Linked DNA regions of Macaca mulatta. The protein of the gene in region 1 purifies or fractionates together with the protein of each later gene. This does not show direct contact. Links are inferred from orthologs where the notes say so. Each region holds a gene or a part of one and is shown on either strand. Other genes may lie near its edges. The genes, in order: NOP58, NUFIP1 and SNU13.

Region 1 (3,650 bases):
ATACAGAGGAACTTGATTGGTTGATTTTTGTTAATGTGCAAAGGAACTTGATTGATTCATGGTTTACTTGACTTACAAATTACTGGCCCCAGCTTTAGTATAAAATTGTCTGTGACATTATTATTAGTCCTGTCTTTTTAAATTTTTGCTACTTATTTTCTGTAATAAGTTTTGTGGCATATTTTGTCTTGTTTTTACTCTGATTATTTTTTGGAGGAAGGTGTTGAGGAGACATTTCATGTCTAAACTTAAACCCTTAAATGAGGAAAACTATTATACTAGGTCAAACTTCTTCATTTTTTTGTTTTGTTTAGGCATCCTTTTCATTGGCTTTCTACTTTTTCTTTTGACTGTTTGCTGGATTTTATATAATTTGTTGAAGAGTGATTCTCCCTCATCCTCTGCAAACATTCCATAGGCGATAGGAAGAACTATGCCTCTGCCAAACTTTCTGAGTTGCTGCCGGAAGAAGTTGAAGCAGAAGTGAAAGCAGCTGCAGAGATATCAATGGGAACAGAGGTTTCAGAAGAAGATATTTGCAATATTCTGCATCTTTGCACCCAGGTAAATTTTACTTCTGGAGAATCTAGTTGTGGTGTTACCAGCTCTATAATGCTAATTTTTCTGATGGCAATGATGATTTACACTTACTGTTGTTCACCTGATAACATAAATATGAGGGTGTTCAGTCACTACCTCATCTGATGCCATCATGATTTGTATACTTAAAAGGGGGAAATACATATTAAAAGGAAGTAATTTACAATCATCGTCTGAATAATGAATTAACCAAAAATCAATTAAGACAGCAGAGAAGACGCTGGGCGTGTTGGCTCACGCCTGTAATCCCTGCACTTTGGGAGGCCAAAGTGAATCACCTGAGGTCAGGAGTTTGAGACCAGCCTGACCAATATAATGAAACCCCATCTCTGCTAAAAATACAAAAATTAGCTGTGCGTGGTGGCATGCACCTGTAATCCCAGCTACTCAGGAGGCTGAGACAGAATCGCTTGAACTAGGGAGGTAGAGGTTGCAGTGAGCCGAGATGGCACCATTGCATCCAACCTGGGCAAAAAGAGCAAAACTCCATCTCAAAAAAAAAAAACAAAAAGGATGGCAGAGAATTATGGATTGAGCTTTTTAATTCTGAGTTTTATGTCTATATCTTGTGATTTTTTTTTTTTTCTTTCAGATTTGAAGATAGTCATATGGGAATTAAAGAGAGCATGACACAAATGTTTATTGCTTAGAAACTTTTTTTTTTTTGGGAGACAGAGTCTCGCTCTATAGCCCAGGCTGGAGTGCAGTGGCACATTCTCAGGCTCATTGCTACCTCTACCTCCCAGGTCCCAGTTTAAGCGATTCTCCTGCCTCAGTCTCCCGAGTAGCTGGGATTACAGGCACGTGCCACCATGCCCAGCTAATTTTTTTATTTTTAGTAGAGATGGGGTTTCACATGTTGGCCAGGCTGGTCTTGAACTCCTGACCTTGTGATCCACCTGCCTCGACCTCCCAAAGTGCTGGAACTACAGGCGAGAGCCATTGGGCCTAGGAGCTGCTTAGCGCTTAAATTTTTTTTTTTTTTTTTTTTGAGACAGAGTCTCGCCTGTCTCCCAGGCTGGAGTGCAGTGGCACGATCTCAGCTCACTGCAAGCTCCGCCTCCCGGTTTCATGCCAGTCTCTTGCCTCAGCCTCCCGAGTAGCTGGGACTACAGGCGCCTGTCACCAGGCCTGGCTAGATTTTTTTTGTTTGTTTTGTTTTTGTTTTTGTTTTTTTGATTTTTTAGTAGAGACGGGGTTTCACCGTGTTAGCCAGGATGGTCTCAATCTCCTAACCTCATGATCCGCTCGCCTCGGCCTCCCAAAGTGCTGGGATTACAGGCATGAGCCACCGTGCCTGGCCTAGAATCTTCTAAAAGTACAGTTACATTTTCAGGCAGTGGACTAGGTAGTTTACATACATTACATAAGAAAGTCCTCACTACAGCCATTTTATAGAAAACTGATATTAGGATCACGACGTCACGAGATTGCACCACTGCACTCCAGCCTGGTGACAGAGCAAGACTCTGTCTCAAAAAACAAAAAGAAAACTGATGTTAGGCATAGTTGATGTACCCAGGGTTGTGTAGCTGCTCTTTCATGATTGAGGGCTCCAGTGTTTTAGACAGGAATTTTATACTGTTTTTACTCATGATATTTGTGACTCACTTTATTCCTTATACTAGGTGATTGAAATCTCTGAATATCGAACCCAGCTCTATGAATATCTGCAAAATCGAATGATGGCCATTGCACCCAATGTTACAGTCATGGTTGGGGAATTAGTTGGAGCACGGCTTATTGCTCATGCAGGTGATGGTTTTAATGTAGTTTGTAAATATGAGTGTTTGAAGTATTTTCTGGTTAGGATTTTGTTTACATCTTTAAACCACAGCTATTAAAGAAATTTTAGCTAATAACACAAAAGTAGATGGTATGTAGGAGATCACTAAGGGCCAGGTGTTCAATGATGATTTCTATTTGTTTGCCTGATTTCCTTTTGGATAATGAAGGCATCTTTAGTCACTACCTCTTCTGAGACACTTGTAGTCCATTGTTAGAAGTTTGTTATGGTTAATTAGAATAATCAGATGCATGCAGAAGGATAAAACAGTTAACATTTTCATAATAAAAACTCACTAGACCTAGATTTAAATACAGTTTTAAGAAATCACTGTAGAGGATTTATGCCCTCGATTGATTATCTTAGTTTCACTATTGAGTGTGCGGATGTAATATGTTTGACTTTGAAAAATATTTTCAACAACTGATTTATAATAAAACTTTGTATATGTGTATGGCAGTATTATAAGGATGATATGCTATAATTAAAATGCTATGTAATTGAATACCTACAAATACAATGAAGTGCTGATTCATCATTTTTATGTTACTTGGAGACATTGTTATAATCCATCAAAAAAGATCCCATATCATCTGCATCAGAGTGTTTAAAACAGCATAACTCCTTTTTTGTTTGTTGGTTTGAGACGGAGTTTCAGTCTGTTACACTGGCTGGAGTGCAGTGGCTCACTGCAACCTCCGCCTCCCGGGTTCAAGCAATTGTCCTGCCTCAGCCTCCTAAGTTGCTGGAATTACAGGCGTGCGCTGCCACCATGCCTGGCTAATTGTTACATTTTTAGTTGAGACAGGGTTTTTGCCATGTTGGCCAGGCTGGTCTCAAACACCTGACCTCAGGTGATCTGCCCACCTCGGCCTCCCAAAGTGTTGGGATTACAGGCATGAGCCACTGCGCCTGACCTGGCATATCCTTTAGCTGCATCATTAATCAAAGATTTCATTCAAGTGCCCTCAGCTATAAGATCAGATGATTTCATTGCCTCCACCCATTTTCATAGGTACAGCTAAACTTGTAGCAGTAAGCAATGGCAGGGGTTAATAGAAGTATGTGTTTGTTGGCCAGGCGTGGTGGCTTACACCTATAATCCCAACACTTTGAGAGGCTGAGGTGGGTGAATCACCTGAGGTCAGGAGTTCGAGGCCATCCTGGCCAACATCGTAAAATTCCATCTCTACTAATAACACAAAAATTAGCTGGCCTTGGTGGCGTGAGCCTGTAATCCCAGCTACTTGGGAGGCTGAGGCAG
Region 2 (3,750 bases), on another chromosome or scaffold:
CCTCGACTTCCTGGGCTCAAGGAATCCTCCTGCCTCAGCCTCCCATGCACCTGGGACCACAGGCATGCCACTATGCCTGGTTAATTTTATTTTTTTTGTAGAGACGGGGGTCTCACTTTGTTGCCCAGGCAGGTCTCAAACTCCTGGGCTCAAGCAATCCTCTTGTCTCTGCCTCTCAAAGTGCTGAGATTAGGCTAGGTGCAGTGGCTCATGCTTGTAATCCCAGCACTTTCAGAGGCCAAGGAGGGTGGATCGCTTGAGGTCAGGAGTTTGAGATCAGCCTGGCCAACATGGTGAAACTTTGTCTCTACTAAAAATACAAAAATTAGCCAGGCTTGGTGGTGGACACCTGTAATAACAGCTACTCGGGAGGCTGAGGCAGGAGAATCACTTGAACCTTGGAGGTGGAGGTTGCAGTGAGCCAAGATCGCGCCATTGCACTCCAGCCTGAGCAACAGAGACTCTGTCTCAACAAATTTAAAAACAGAAATAAATAAAGTGCCGAGATTATAGGTGTGAGTTACCCTGCTCAGCCTAAAGTATTTTTTAATCAAGGTATGTAAGTTGTTTTTTGAGACATAATGGTATTGCACACTTAATAGACTGTGGTATAATGTAAAAATAACTTTTTTGCCCCATATGATCTGCAGGAAAACATAACTTTTACATGCACTGGAAAACCAAAAAAAAAAAAAAATTGTGTGACTTGCTTTACTGCAGTGGTCTGTAATTGAACCCACAAGAGCTCCAAGGTATCCCTAGATCTAGAATCCAACTACTTCTCACCATCCTTTGGGCTTCACCTTGGTCCAAGTCTCCAGTGTCTCTCATTTAGACAAGTAATTACAATAGCTTCCTAACCGGTTTCCCTTTCAGTCAGTTCCCACCAACAGACACATTAATCCTCTTAAGTAAATCAGATCATGTCAATCCCCTGTACTACCCACCTCACAACAGTAAAAGTCAGAGTCCCACGATCTACAAAGATATACCAGGTCTTACCCTCTTCCCCCATCTTCTACAATTATACTCCAGACTCAGTCCTCTGTAGCCACGCTGGTTCCCATTTTGATGTATAGCTTCTAAGCCTTAAGGCCTTTGCACTTGCAGTTCCTTCTGCCTATACCCCTATTCTCCCAGATGTATGCATGGCTGTGATCCCTCACCTCCCTGAAGTCTTTGCTCATATGTCACCTTTCTTATGACTAACAATGATATTTAAAACTGCACTACCCGGCCGGGCACGGTGGCTCACGCCTGTAATCCCAACACTCTGGGAGGCCGAAACGGGCGGATGCCTGAGCTCAGGAGTTCGAGACAGGCCTGGCCAACACGGCGCAACCCCATCTCTACTAAAAATACAAAAAATTAGCCAGGCGTGGTGGCGCGGGCCTGTAGTCCCAGCTACTCGGGAGTTTGACGCACGAGAATTGCTTGAACCCGGCAGAGGTTGCAGTGAGCCTCTCTGCAGATTGCATAGGCTGGAGTGAAGTAGATCGCGCTACTCTTCACTCCACCCCGGGCGACAGAGGCGCTCTGTCTCCAAAAAAGAAAAGAAAAGAAAAAAAAAAAGAAAACCCTGCACTACTTACCATTCTTCTTTGTTTTATCTCTCTCCACTGCACTCTTAACCTTCTAATGCACAATATTTTATTTTATTGTCTGTCTTCCTACACAAGAGAGATATTAATATTAAGCTCCGTAATATTTTTTGTATGTTCTGCTCACTGCTATATACCTAAATTCTGGTACATAGTTGGAATTCAATAAACAACTGCTAAATGGAATTAACAGGCAACAGGAAAACATTCCAATCAGATATATTTTGAGATACTAATGACCAGACTCCAAGAGTGCAGAGGCAAGGCAGAGTGGAGTGAGGAAACGGAGAAACGGGAGAGGAAAGAACGGGGAAAAAAGGTAAAGGGGTTGACCCACGTGGAAAAATAGCCTACCTGGAGGGTTGAAGGACTTCTGATGCCGAGGAAACCTATCAGAAGACTGTCTCCAATACCATGATGTCGAAGCGTGGAAATTCCAAGGTTGGCCGTTGGGTTGAGGTTGAGAATCAAGAGGGGACTGGGCGTCGAAAGGGGGTTGCGCCCCGGGAAGAATCTGAGCGTCGAAGGGGGGCGGCGCCCCAGGAAGAGACTGGGCCTCCATGGGGGGCTGCGACTCAGAGGAAGGCTTTGACCCGGCTGCGGGAAGCGAGGACGTAAGCGGTGGTGGCGGCGGCGGCAGCATTGCCCAGAACACCCAGCTGTCCCGTGGCGGGGCAGTGTCGCTCAGCGGCCCTAACGTGGGAGTCAGCTCGGGAGACGCACGCCACCCGGTTGGAGTCACGAAATCACTAGCCGGCTCAGCCATACCACCTGCAAGGTCCGGAGTCTAGCACGCGACTGTGGAGCAAGCATTAGGCGTCACTTCCTTTACGGTGAACTACGCCGCTCAGCCAACCACAGGCCTTACGTCATTGGTCGGCGTCGGGAAACCTTCCATTCTTTGCTGCTGATCGCGGGATTCCATTTGGGTAGTTTTGACGTTCGTGGATAGACTCGTATCTGTGACCAGTGTCAGCCACCGCGGATGGCAAGAGACCTAATCGGACCGGCCCTGCCGCCCGGCTTCAAGGCCCGCGGAACAGCGGAGGACGAAGAGCGGGACCCGAGCCCTGGTAAGCGGCTGCGTCTCCGCTGCCCACCAGGCCCATCTACCCCCTCCCTGGGCCGGCCCTGCTCGCTGAAGAAAGTCGGAGGCCTAGGAGGGCTGAGGAATGGGGAGTGGGCGCGGCCCGACCCGAGAGAACTTTTTTTCCCTAACGGTAGCAGTGGGGAGGAGGCTGGGGGACCCTCCTAGAAACCGAGCTTTTGCGTGATTTGGCTTCGTGATGATAATACATTCTCATTTAGCGCTTAATAAAAACTGCACGCTGCCCTAACTGACTGATATCCATTCAGTCATTTAAGCCGTATAAGGAAAAGACTATTTTCCCATGTTGCAAATGGGTACGCCCAAGCCCATGCCAGCGTAGATCATACTGCTAGCAAGTGATGGAGCGCGACTTAGAAGGAAGCGTTTCTCCTAACCTCTGTGCCATATTGCCTTCTGATTTACAAGAACCTTGCAGATCCTGTTCTCTCCAGCCCCCGACCTGCTTTCCTTGCCTCTAATTCTGTTATTGCATCTGACACATCAGCCCAGTACTCAATCCAGCCTGAGTTGCTGCGCAGTTCCTTAACGCTCTAGGCTTCTGGGCTTCCTCTGGTTACATTTCTAAACATAACTGACAAACATCTCCCTATCCTTCAAGGCCCAACTTAAATGTCATACCAATAAAACCTTTCCAGATTCCCCAAAGCATTGTCACGCCTTTCTTTTTGCCCTCGGGTTTTTTCCTAATTACATTGCATATTTGGTACACTATATTTGAATAATTTGTCGACATAATCTGTCCCCACCATTGCACTATGGTCTTCTACCTGAACACGCAACAGGCACTTTGTATATACGAAACGAATGCTTCTCAGATTCCGCCATGCATACCTATCTGCTTTAATGTTTATCACATTTGTGGACTAGCACCGACAACCCAGTTGGAGAAGAGTAAAGCTGAGTAGCCCTGCCATTTCTGAATCTAATTTTTCTTCCTGGTCTACCCGGAGGTCATGTTTCTACTACAGGCCCCTTTCCAATCTAATTTCTGTTATAACCATTTTGAAAATTATGCTTTCCAGCCGGGCGAGGTGGCAC
Region 3 (3,750 bases), on another chromosome or scaffold:
AGGAAGAACTTGTTTTAAACAACCCCATCCTCTGGAATGAAGAGATTAAGTTCCCTGAATGTGTGATGGGGTTATATAACCTGCAGTCTGCTTGATTTCTTTCTTCCTATGAGATACTTGGATCTGCCTGTCCTTCTATCTATTATCAAACATTTAATAAACACTGTATTGAATACAGGTATTATTGTTTAACCACTCAGCATCCCTTTCTCGTTGCTTGCAGTATCCTGATTTCCCATGGGGTAATTACTTTTCCCATCTTAGGATCAGTGTTGGTGGGAAAATAAATGCTACCCTGAAGACTCTTTTACCCAAAGGTTCTATTCAAAATAAATATCTGAGCAGGCAGGGACGTCAGCCAATCATAATGAGCCAGGACTTAACCGTTTAGTGGCTGAATTTTTTTTTTTTTCAGACCGAGTTTTGCTCTTGTTGCCCAGGCTGGAGTGCAATGGCGCAATCTCTGCTCACTGCAACTTCCGCCTCCCAGGTTCAAGCGATTCTCCCGCCTCAATCTGCCGAGTAGCTGGGATTACAGGCATGCGCCACCACCCTCGGCTAATTTTATATTTTTAGTAGAGACAGGGGTTTCTCCGTGTTGGTCAGGCTGGTCTCGAACTCTCAACCTCAGGTGATCCGCTCGCCTCAGCTTCCCAAAGTGCTGGGATCACAAGCGTGAGCCACCGCGCCCGGCCTTGTTTTGTTTTGTTTTGTTTTGTTTTGTTTTTTTGGTCTTTGAGTCTTGCTCTGTTGCCCCAGCAGGAGTGCTGGAGTGCAGTGGCACGATCTCAGCTCACTGCAGCCTCCACCTCCGGGGTTCAAGCGATTCTCCTGCTTCAGCCTCCCAAGTAGCTGAGTTTGCAGGCGCCCGCCACCACGCCTGGCTAATTTTTGTATTTTTAGTAGAGACGGGGTTTCGCCATGTTGGCCAGGCTGGTCTTGAACTCCTGTCCTCAAGTGATCCGCCCGCCTCGGCCTCCCAAAGTGCTAGGATTACAGGCATAAGCCACTGCGACCGACTGGTGGGTTATTTTTTGAATCTTTAATTCATTGTTTCTGCCAATAATTTGTACTGGACAGCTCATAAGAACGCCAAAGTACGTTCCTTCATCAACACAGAGCCAGTTTCCGCGCCAGTGCCCCGTAGGGGGCGGGGCCCGCTAGCTCGCTTGCGTAGCGTCATCTTTGCTTCCTGCCGCGCGGGGCCGTTTCCGCTGCTGCTTCAGTGAGTTTTTCCGGTGGAGGCGAACGCTGCTCAGAAGTCGGCTGCGCTCTCCTAGAAGTGCCGAGCCCGCGGAACAGCAGCCATGGTGAGTGCGTGCGCCGGCCAAGGGACCGGGAAGCAGGAGACTCGGGGTTGCGTTCACTCCCTGGCCTGTTAGATGAAGGCTTAGACCCTGCGCCGTCTCATCCGCCGGCGCTGGGTCTTAACCGCCGGGCCCTGAGTTAGAACTCCAGCAGCCGCGGGTTCCCAACAGCCTGGCCCGAGGTTAGAACTCGAGGTTAGAACTCAGGAAACCTCAGGGATCCCCGCTGCTGTGGTGCTTTGCCGCACGATCTGTTTGCGTGGCAGAAGGTCTGCGGCGAGCGGAGGGGGCATGGCCTAGCGGGAGAAAGAGACCAACCCACGTGGGAGAGGGCAAAAAGTTGGGTGAAGAAAATTTGGCTCCAACTTTTTTTTCCCCTTGTTTCTTTAAGTACGAAATCTACGATGGCGTGGGACCCTGGGATTCGGATCAACCTCTCCTACCCACCCTACCTCACCCCACCCCCGTTGCTGGGGTCCAGGAGATCTCCTGTGGGTGTGCGCCTAGTGCTCGCCGCGAGTCACACGCGCCAGGGACCTAGAGGAGACTTTGGCAATTGGGGGCTGTGGGGAACATGAAGTGAGCGCGACTCACGGCCTGGAGCGCAGGAAGGGCTTCTCCCGCAAGGTGGTGGCTTCAAAACCCAGAAGTCTGGTAGCACCACGTGCGGCGTCTCTGAATTCTTGGTCGTCTCTGACTTTTAAATATCTAGGGAAAGTTCTAAAACGTGTGTCCTGGCGTAGTCGTTTTGGTTGGCACTTGGTGAGGAGGGAAGAATTTGCAAAGCACTGTAACGTTTATAGTTAATCCTTCCAGCGGAGCTTGGATCCCGGCGGTAGCACTCCCCCCAAACCTCCTCCCATGCATTTTGAAGCTTAGTGCGTGGCTGAGCCTAGAACTCGAAGCTTTCAAACTCAGTGCTCGCTTTTATGCAGTTCCCTGAAACGTTTTGGAATCGGATGGTCTCAGGTTGAACTTTGCAGTTTTCCTCAACTGTAAAATGGGAATGACAGTGCATCAGGATGTTGTGAGGATCAGATGAAATAAAGCATGTTAAACATCTAGTCCTCATGCTTGGCACAGAGTGAGCACGCAGTATTTGTTGTCCAATCAAAACCTTGCAAGTTTTGGCTGTCTGGTGTACAGGGAAACCAAACTGATCACGCTAGGTACGGATTTAGGTTGGCTGGTGGTATGCTATCATTCATTAATTTATTTAACCTCTGAAGAAATTGAAAGGCGAATAAATACACCCTAAGCAAGTTTCAATTAGTGTTTATAAGCTAGGTAGTTTGGTTTTAAAATTGAGTTTAACTTTTTGTTTACTAATAGTGAAACATTTAGGTATTTGATGGCTGTTCAGATTCCTGAAGTTTTCCTCTTATGAATTTGATATTTATTGAGAGTTGAGGATCCTGATTTCCAGAGAATGGGTTGTTGGAAACAACAGCAATTTTAAAAGTTTTTTTAAATTGACATATCATAGTTGTATGTACTTTGGGGGTTCCACATAATATTTTTAAGTATATCTATTTTAAAATGTGGGACAGGGCCAGGCACGGTGCCTCATGCCTGTAATCCCAGCACTTTGGGAGGCCAAGGCGGGTGGATTATGGGGTCAGGAGTTCAAGACCTGCCTGGCCAACATAGTGAAACCCTGTCTACTAAAAATACAAAAAAATTAGCCAGGCGTGGTGGCGGGCACCTGTAATCCCAGCTCTTTGGGAGGCTGAGGCAAGGAGAATCGCTTGAACCTGGGAGGCAGAGGTTGCAGTGAGCCAAGATCGCGCCACTGCACTTCAGCCCGGGTGACAGTGTGAGACTCCGTCTCAAAAAATATAAATAAATAAAATAAAAGGTGATAAATTATTAACCAAAATTTCCAGCCGGGTACGGTGGCTCACACCTGTAATCCCAGCACTTTGGGAGGCCGAGGTGGGCGGATCATGAGGTCAAGAGTTCAAGACCAGCATGACCAACATGGTGAAACCCCATCTCTACTAAAAATACAAAAATTAGGCGGGCATGGCGGTGCATACCTGTAATCCCAGCTACTTAGGAGGCTGAGGCAGAAGAATCACTATATCCGGGGAGGCCGTGGTTGCAGTGAGCTGACATCGTGCCACTGCACTACAGCCTGGGTGACAAAGCAAGACTCTGTCCCAAAAAAAAAATAAAATCCCTACTGTAGTATCAAATAAAACATATTTGTATGGCCGGATGTGGTGGCTCACACCTTTAATCCCAGCACTTTGGGAGGCCGAGGCAGGTGGATCTCGACTCACTGAAACCTCTGTCTCCCGGGTTCAAGCGATTCTCCTGTCTCAGCCTCCCAAGTAGCTGGGATTACAGGCACGCACCACCACGCCCAGCTATTTTTTGTTTTTGTTTTTTAATAGAGACAGGGTTTTGCTGTGTTGGTCAGGCTGGTCTCAAACTCCTG

The links.
Region 2: the proteins of NOP58 (region 1) and NUFIP1 purify together in Homo sapiens (co-immunoprecipitation; 3 studies listed by BioGRID and IntAct, with this or other methods). This does not show direct contact. The link is inferred for Macaca mulatta from reciprocal best matches to the Homo sapiens genes NOP58 and NUFIP1.
Region 3: the proteins of NOP58 (region 1) and SNU13 fractionate together in Homo sapiens (co-fractionation; 3 studies listed by BioGRID and IntAct, with this or other methods). This does not show direct contact. The link is inferred for Macaca mulatta from reciprocal best matches to the Homo sapiens genes NOP58 and SNU13.

Annotation. Positions count from the first base shown.
Region 1 is NC_133417.1:107,472,776-107,476,425, forward strand, and holds part of NOP58 (nucleolar protein 58), read left to right. Parts: intron 1-418; coding exon 419-564; intron 565-625; exon of another isoform or gene 626-713; intron 714-2,228; coding exon 2,229-2,355; intron 2,356-2,502; exon of another isoform or gene 2,503-2,586; intron 2,587-3,650. UniProt on the Homo sapiens protein: Required for the biogenesis of box C/D snoRNAs such as U3, U8 and U14 snoRNAs. Part of the small subunit (SSU) processome, first precursor of the small eukaryotic ribosomal subunit.
Region 2 is NC_133422.1:24,297,301-24,301,050, forward strand, and holds the start of NUFIP1 (FMR1-interacting protein NUFIP1), read right to left. Parts: upstream 2,404-3,750; 5' UTR 2,368-2,403; coding exon 1,956-2,367; intron 1-1,955. UniProt on the Homo sapiens protein: Binds RNA.
Region 3 is NC_133415.1:9,821,591-9,825,340, forward strand, and holds the start of SNU13 (NHP2-like protein 1), read left to right. Parts: upstream 1-1,224; 5' UTR 1,225-1,307; coding exon of another isoform or gene 1,308-1,310; exon of another isoform or gene 1,311-2,998; intron 2,999-3,326; exon of another isoform or gene 3,327-3,576; intron 3,577-3,750.